2 linked regions of the Lepisosteus oculatus genome follow. The protein of the gene in region 2 purifies or fractionates together with the protein of the main gene of each other region. This does not show direct contact. Links are inferred from orthologs where the notes say so. Each region holds a gene or a part of one and is shown on either strand. Other genes may lie near its edges. The genes, in order: znhit2 and ecd.

Evidence for each region.
Region 1: the proteins of ecd (region 2) and znhit2 purify together in Homo sapiens (affinity purification with mass spectrometry; 3 studies listed by BioGRID and IntAct, counting the BioPlex papers as one, with this or other methods). This does not show direct contact. The link is inferred for Lepisosteus oculatus from reciprocal best matches to the Homo sapiens genes ECD and ZNHIT2.

What each region holds. Positions count from the first base shown.
Region 1 is NC_090713.1:21,259,015-21,262,931, forward strand, and holds the start of znhit2 (zinc finger HIT domain-containing protein 2), read right to left. Parts: upstream 2,401-3,917; 5' UTR 1,968-2,400; intron 498-1,967; 5' UTR 460-497; coding exon 1-459. Other genes in the region: pre-mRNA-processing factor 39, read left to right, coding at 2,584-2,638. UniProt on the Homo sapiens protein: May act as a bridging factor mediating the interaction between the R2TP/Prefoldin-like (R2TP/PFDL) complex and U5 small nuclear ribonucleoprotein (U5 snRNP).
Region 2 is NC_090699.1:28,766,626-28,770,542, reverse strand, and holds the start of ecd (protein ecdysoneless homolog), read right to left. Parts: upstream 2,842-3,917; 5' UTR 2,674-2,841; intron 1,950-2,673; exon of another isoform or gene 1,947-1,949; 5' UTR 1,932-1,946; coding exon 1,727-1,931; intron 1,535-1,726; coding exon 1,417-1,534; intron 944-1,416; coding exon 856-943; intron 364-855; coding exon 185-363; intron 1-184. Other genes in the region: protein FAM149B1, read left to right, coding at 3,604-3,650. UniProt on the Homo sapiens protein: Regulator of p53/TP53 stability and function. Inhibits MDM2-mediated degradation of p53/TP53 possibly by cooperating in part with TXNIP. May be involved transcriptional regulation. In vitro has intrinsic transactivation activity enhanced by EP300.

The sequences.
Region 1 (3,917 bases), on a different chromosome or scaffold from region 2:
GCCGGCGAGCCTCTCGGCCAGCTCTTCCTCCTCCTCCTCCTCCTCCTCCCTCAGCCTGACCAGGATCTCCTGCATCCGCCGTCGGCCCTCCTCCCCGGCCCGGCCGGCGGCGCGCAGCTCGCCCAGGACGGCCTGCCTGTAGAAGTCCTCGGAGCAGCGGGCGTGGCGCGGCCCGCGGTAGCAGCCCAGGCCGCAGTAGGGCGCCTGGCAGCGCGGGCAGGTGTAGCGAGCCGGGCTCTGCAGGCACAGCGCGCACGGCCTCGCCGGCGTCAGCAGGGGCTCGCCGGGCTCCGCCCCCGCCCTCCCCGGCACCGCAACACCGCCGATGTCCCCCGTGCCCACGGCCGCCGGCTCCGTGGGGGTCTCGGCCCACGCCTCCTGCTCGGTCCAGCCGCCCCCCTGCGCCGAGAGGAGTCCGGTCACGCAAGCCGGCAGCCTTCTCACCCGCAGGACGTTCATGCTGCCGAGGAACGGGGATTCCCGATCCCTAGTCCCGCCTGAAGACAGGATAGAACAGTCAGGCCCCGGAGTTAAATTAACCGGAAGGAGCACACTGGCATTCACATCATACAGACGGAGGGGTCGTGCTGGAACTACATTTCCCAGAAGGCTGTGGGGTGGGGGTCACCTGACCAGCAGGCGGAAGACGATTGGTCGGCGACGATGTCAAAACCAGGAAGAGGGGGGAGAGATTCGGGGATGGTCAGCATCTGCTGCCGAGACGGGAGAGACGAGTTTCCGCTGTGCTCTGCCCCTGGCTGACTGGCCCGCGGGCACTGTAAGTTAAGAGGAAGCTTGTCTGCTTTCAAGCCAATAAGCAGTTCAGTCAGTTTAAGTTTAAGTCAGAGAAGAGCTCGATTTTGGTTTTTTTTTACCCCCTCACTGTAAATAAAAAGCACTGTGTTACCGTACTGCTACCCCGTTGAGTGTGTTCCTCTAATACAGCTCCTGGAGAGCCCCATTTCAACTAAGAGAGACCGGCTGGCATAAATACAGACAGCGGCTATGTCACTATACAGCTCACATCGGGCAGCACACTGGAGCCCAGCAGTGTGAGCCTGGCCAGTACCTGGAGGGGAGACTCCTGGGAGAGCTGAGGCTGCTGCTGGAAGAGGTGTTAGTGGGGCCAGTAGGGGGCGCTCACCCTGCGGTCTGTGTGGGTCCTGATGCCCCAGTATAGTGACGGGGGACACTAGACTGTAAACAGGCTCCGTCCTTCAGATGAGACGTCAAACCGAGGTCCTGACTCTCTGTGGTCATTAAAAATCCCAGGGCGTTTCTCGAGAAGAGTAGGGGTGTTACCCTGGTGTCCTGGCCCAATTTCCCCCTGGCCTTTACCCATCATGGCCTCCTAATAACCCCCCTCTCTGAACTGGCTCCATCACTCTGCTCTCCTCCCCACTGAGAGCTGGGGTGTGGGGAGCGGACTGGCGCCTCATCCAGGTGGGGCTGGAGGGGAGTCCCCACTACCTCTAAAATGCTTTGAATGGAGTCACCAGAAAAGTACTCTATAACCGTAATTATTAGTATTAATACCCAGCACCCAGCTCGTGTAGATTGTGAACACTTGTTTGGCTGTGATCGATTCAACAAGTAACGTTGGTCTTCGGATTACAATACATGCTGCAGCAGGGGCGTAGCCGATTTCACATAACCTCGCTGTCAAGTAGCAGATGACCAAAACAGAATTCGGTCTAATTAGCTGACCTAAGCAGGCAGCGTAGTTTCTTACCATAAGAGGACCTAGACCAGGCTGATCCTACAAACCAAGAAAATATGCTCGACTATGTAGTACAAAACGGTATTTACACGGCCGTATGAAACGTTTCGAATTAAAAACTGCAAAAGAAACTCGGAAACTCGGTATTACAAATTCAAAGTGATGCATTTATTTAAAGCCAAACAACAAAATGCCACTTTTATCCGCGAAACTCATAAACAAAAAACGCTTAGTAACTCATACTCACATGAATACGCCAAGTGTCGCGATAACGTCGGACAGTCGTCCCGGTTCGTGTCTCACTTTTCGCCTGGGAATGACCTGACTGCCAAACCGGTGTCTGAATGGCTTATCCCGATTCCTATCAATAAAATCTGTACCCTTTTTTTTTTTACAACAAGTATACACTGTTTCTAGACGCCATCTCTTCTTCCAAACTCCCACACTCGCCCCGCGTGGGTGCTGTAAAGCAAGCCCCACTGTCGTGCGTTGTCGCAAGGCGCCTGCAAAACTGTTCTCATCCACGTCTGTAAATACAGCCGCCGTCTCGAAATACACACTCGACTACTTTACTCGGATATCTTTTACAAACAAAAGCTTCGTTCTGTACGAGTTTAAAGGGCGACTTGTTTGGAATCTGTTGCTTGTAAGTTTACACAATCCCGCAAGGAGTTTGTGGACACTTACATAACGTAGAGAACATCCGCCTCTCTGATGAACAGTCATTTCATTCTCTAAAAAGAATTGGAGTCATAATTTAAAAAAAAAACATTTTTAATTTAGCTAAAACTCGGTGGTTGCCATGGCGATCCAGGGCAGTGACGTCACCGGCAGAGACGTGCCGTATTCTCGTCTCTTCCAAGATGGCGGCGGAGAATCTGGATCCGAGCGCGAACGGCGAGTTAACCGCCGAACCGGGTCAGTGCTGGACAGCAGGCCGCCTCCGAACCGGTGCAGTAAAGGGGTTGCGTGCGGTCGTGCCTCAAAATGAGCTTTCCCGAACAAGACAGAATCTTGGGGCTTTTAAAAGTCGTCTTGCTCCGGGTTACTGAGTTACAGGGTGACCGGTACCGTCCACAGCCCAGCGGCTGTGATTGAGGTTTAGCGGATCTCTACGGAACCCGACCGGCCTGTTCTGATTTAACAGTCACTCAGCAGTGGATTTACAGGACGGCCAGGGCACCACCTGTGTGTTGCTCTCTGTGTTTCCTCCCGGAGGTGGTAGTGTTTTACTTCTGAGCCGAAAATATTTCATTCAGCGTTAACCTGAAAACAAAACTGTGTTCTGAAAAAGTCACTCCGAAGGAGGTGGTGGCGCTGTTTGTACGGGAACCTTGCCCGACCAGAAAAGAAAACCTCATCGATCGTTTACTGTTAAAACTCTTGAACCTGCATCTCGTCCGAGCTGTGCCAGCCTTTGTACAAACACGTTCCCCGGGATCTCCCTAACCAGAACGCCGCCGATGTTTGAAAACGGAAATTGTAGAAGTTTTGCACCACCTGTGAAGTGTATGATTAATCCGCTTGAGTCGGTGAAGCTATCAGAGGGATTATTTTTTTGAACAATTTTACTCGGAAGAGGGTGACCGCGCAGTGTCCGGTCTAAGAGGTAGTTATGTGTTTGGAGCCCAGGACTCACTGATTGGAGAGGTCACGGGTTCGAATCCTGTGTGAAGGCTGGGAGGGGGTATTGGTGCTGTAAAGCAGCCCCAAAGGTGCCCTCTTGCCCTCCGAGCTCCAGCTGTATGAATGTGTAACGAGGAAAACAGCCAGTGGAAATTTTGGAGAATACCTCTTGCTTCTGTTTTAGTTAGCGTCGATCTAGTAATCGATTTGTCATCCATTTTCTAACCCGCTTACTGGTTACGGGTCACGGGGGGAGCGGGAGTCTATCCCAGCAAGCAACGGGCGCAAGGCAGGGTACACCCTGGATGGGACGCCAGTCCATCACAGGACACACACACACACACACACACACCAGGGCCAGTTTTCCCAGAAGCCAATTAACCCACCAGCCTGTCTCTGCTGTGGGAGGAAACCCATGTATACACGAGGGGAACGTGCAAACTCCACACAGACAGCGCACAGGGCCCCAGCGCTGCACCACTGTGCTCCAAACCCAGTCGTTTTCATGCCCTGAACATCGCGAGGGGGAAGTCGGGGGCCGCCTGCCGGTTCTGAGGCGAACCCAGACGCC
Region 2 (3,917 bases):
ATTAGAATCTTATTTAATCAATAGTAATAATAACCCTTGTTATTAAGATACTGATTGATATTAATATAATGATTGATTATATTATTATAATAATATTGTTATTATTATGAATGAAATGAAAAAGGTAATAAGGTATTGGAAATGTTACAGCACAAAGGACCATCAGGTCCTCTACCCTCATTACCCCTTCACTCTCTTGGCCACAGCAGTGCGGGTGGGTTGGGCAGCCAGACAGGTCTCAGGCTGTGAGGATAGGAGGGCCAGCGCCTGGGGCAAGGTGGGTGTGGCATCAGGGGGCCACCCCTCCTCCCCAGGGTCCTGGGGTGCAGGGATGATGTGCAGCTCACCCCGGTACAGAAATACCTGCATAGACAGAGTGCACAAGGCATCAGTCTGCTCAGCCTCTCCTGATAAATAAATAAAAGGTAGGATGGGAAAAAGTAAACCATGAACCATCCTGTCCTTTTAACAGAAAGGCATTTTTTGTGTTTTGAATGTTTAATTTACTTTATAAAATGTGAGAGGACAGTAGGATGAGACCATGATGACAGCACTTGACTGGACTACATTCCCCAGAAAGCTGTGGGGATTGACCAGCCATCCTCTGTCACCTGACAAATAAGTTTAAGACAGTTTACAAATCTGGAAACTGAAGCTTTAAGGGTCTGGAGACAAAAAAGGGTGTTTAAGACAGACTTTGAAGTACAAACTGTTCTGTGATTTTCTGTGATTTGATGCACTATAAAACTTTTAACACTTATGCAAAGTTAACATACATTTTTACTGAGTCTGTCAAATGTTACAATGCTTTCCCTGTTGCAAAGAACCTGACTGCCAAAAGGGACAAGTTCTCACTCTGTTTTCACTGCTCTCTGGATTCAGCCATCGGGGAAGGTGCTCAGCTGCTTCTATCAGCAAGAATTCTCCGTCATTGTCCTCAATCCTGCAAACCAACACAATCACACAATGGCAACAGGGACTTCCCTATAGAGACAGGGAAGGAGGAATATCTTAATTTCCTTCAACCTAACATAAGTATTAGTTACTTGTATTTATACAGTATTTTTCGTTTTGAAGGATTCCAAAGTCCTTTGTAGATGATGAAGTACTTCTTCCTTCCACAGTGCATCATCCTTTTAGGAGACACTCATAAACAGTCATTTCATACAAAGATAAGGCAAAGAAGCCAGGAAATAAAGTAGAGAGACTGAGAAAGAAAAGGGCTAAAATGGCATTTTTCCCAAAACTCAGTGCGCCCCTACTCTTATGAATAGCATCCTGGAATCTTTAATGCCCATAAGCAGGCTGGACCCTCAGGAAATACATCTCTGGAAAGATGGAAAACTTGAAACAAAAAAAAAAGATTGAAAACTAATATCAGATAACCTCAGCTCCAACATGGCTGTACAACCTTACCTGGCAGCCAGGTGAGGGAAGGTTCGGGTGATCTCCTGTATAAGATACACAATGAACCATTCATCTTCCACATTGTCCCCAAATTGTGTGGAACCCCCAATGTGAGCAGGAACACCAGCTGCAAGGCAGAATGATACATGTTTAATATGATATGATATGCTTAATAAAACAGCCAAAATGAAATGTATAGGTAATGCAGTTTTTATTATATTTACAGTAACATTTCACGTGAGAGAGCTGAACTGCATGAAAACAGAATACAATACCATACATATTCGATTGCCTACCACAATGATGTTCATTTGCTGACCTTTTTCGGGAACATATTTGATGTTAAAAGGTTGGTTTTGCCAGATGTACTGCACGAGCAGAGGCGCAAACTGCACCAGAATCCTCTCCACATCCTGCTGCAGAAGCTGCTGAGCGGCTTGAGGATCACAAGCATTGGGCTGGACCAGAAACAGGCGGTACTGCACCATGTCCTCGGCAACAGGGGGTCTTTTCAGCACATCCATTGTGCCCTTGTATGTCTGCTGTCCACACAGGAAGACAACACCAGACTGAAATAATACTCTCATCACGCTCATTTTAGATAGTGTGCACCCGAAGCTCTTTGACATATTTCATGAAAACCAAGATTATAAATGTAAAAAATCTTTTAAGAGGAATTAAACTCCGTAGTGTATGTATACAGCTGTTGTACTGTTTCATTTGTATTACATATTGAGAGGATGTTCTTCCTTAAACAACTGTAGCATCAAGCTAGCATTTATCGACAGTACTGATGGAGACCCAGCAGAAACGTGAACATATTAAATCAAATACATAAAAGAAGGTTTCGAAACATGGCTCAAACAACGATTCGATTATGGGTTCCTTGAGGTAAGAAAAATATAACCAGAATAACTCAAGAAAGACATTATTTCTGATGACTGAAACTATGCAACCACGTTTTCACTATTTCAGAAAATATCTATTTTTCAAAAAAGTTTTCATCCATTTTCAGCAAGCAGTTAAGATTAACATCCTCTTGTACGATGCACACATTTTTACTTTAAATCAAGGCAAATAGATTAATGGAAAGAAGCTAAAAGTTTTAATTAGAGCTACTCACTGAATAATACATTAAGCTACAAAAGTAGCTTTCATCATATGATTCAAAATATTAATATAACGCCATATCAGTATTGAAAAGTAAAAGCATGCAGTACTCTGACGATCATTGAAAAGGCCACTGTATAAAATAAACATTCTTACTCTTTGTCTCCAGGGGGTATACCTTTCAAAATAATTACAGACAGGAACAAATTAACCTATATGTACTCCACACGTTTAAAAATTGTATACAGGCAATTCAAGAAAGTACACTGTCAGCCTTGACGCACGCATGACGACACAGGTCATTCCTTTAGTTTCTTGTTCCCGGAAAAGCACGGTCATAATGACCCGACTGGGAAACAAGCATTTTTGAAACAATAGTTCCAACTGTATTAATTTTCTCTGATAGACAGTTAGTTATTATAGAATTAAGAGTTTAGCTAATATATTTATTCTACTCAGTTCCAGTATATGGGCGCATTGCCCTCTTTAAAACAGATGCATTTAAGATAAATACTACATTTCCCAGAGAGCATTGTAGCCCCTCCTATGTGGCAGTCGGGAACTGAAGTCCTTTGCTGATTCGCCGAGTTCGTAAATCGCAGACATTGTTGGGAAGCAAAAACTACTTTTCCCAGAAGGCATGACGATAGAGGGGTAAGATGGGTATCCATGACAGCCTAGTTGTTGTTGTTAGATGGTGCTAAACTAGTTTTGGGTTGAAAACATTAAAACATTTTAAGAGGGTGGTATGGTCAACCGTCCATCTTCCAGAAAAATACAATTCACAGCTAATTAGAACTTTTGTATTTCTGAATATGTCGTTTTTGAAAAAAAAACGTAGACATTTCTGTCATTAGGTGACTTAATTCCTCTGCTATATTCACCCCGTTCTAGACGTATCAGTATAAAATTGGCCATATTCAAGTAAACAGACATCCTACAGGACTGAGGACTTGAGTAGTGGAGCTCACGGAAAGTGAGAACGATGGTACACCCCCAGCGAAAGAGGCAACGGGGACGGGAATCAGAGGATAGCTTAACGGAGGACCTGTCGGAGAGGGATATGGGGAAATTGTGAACAAGAAAATGATTTCGAGATACAGCAGACGACCTGTGTCACACAGCCTGGAGATGTGAGTATTCTGTAACTGTGCCCTTTGTACGATAACTGACATCGCTGTTTTAAATGTCTTCTCGGAGTCAGTCCCTCTCGTCACAGCGAGAAAATCGCAACTGAAGGGGAATAAAATGTACTTTGTAGAGTTAAATCCATAGGTTTGCCTATTCCATTGTTTCAGAGAGACGTGAAGGAGGATTGTAATATAATATTTGACGGAACTGATTTGCTTCATTGGTAATGCTATTGCTTGAATATTTGGATAATAATAGTTCAAAATAAT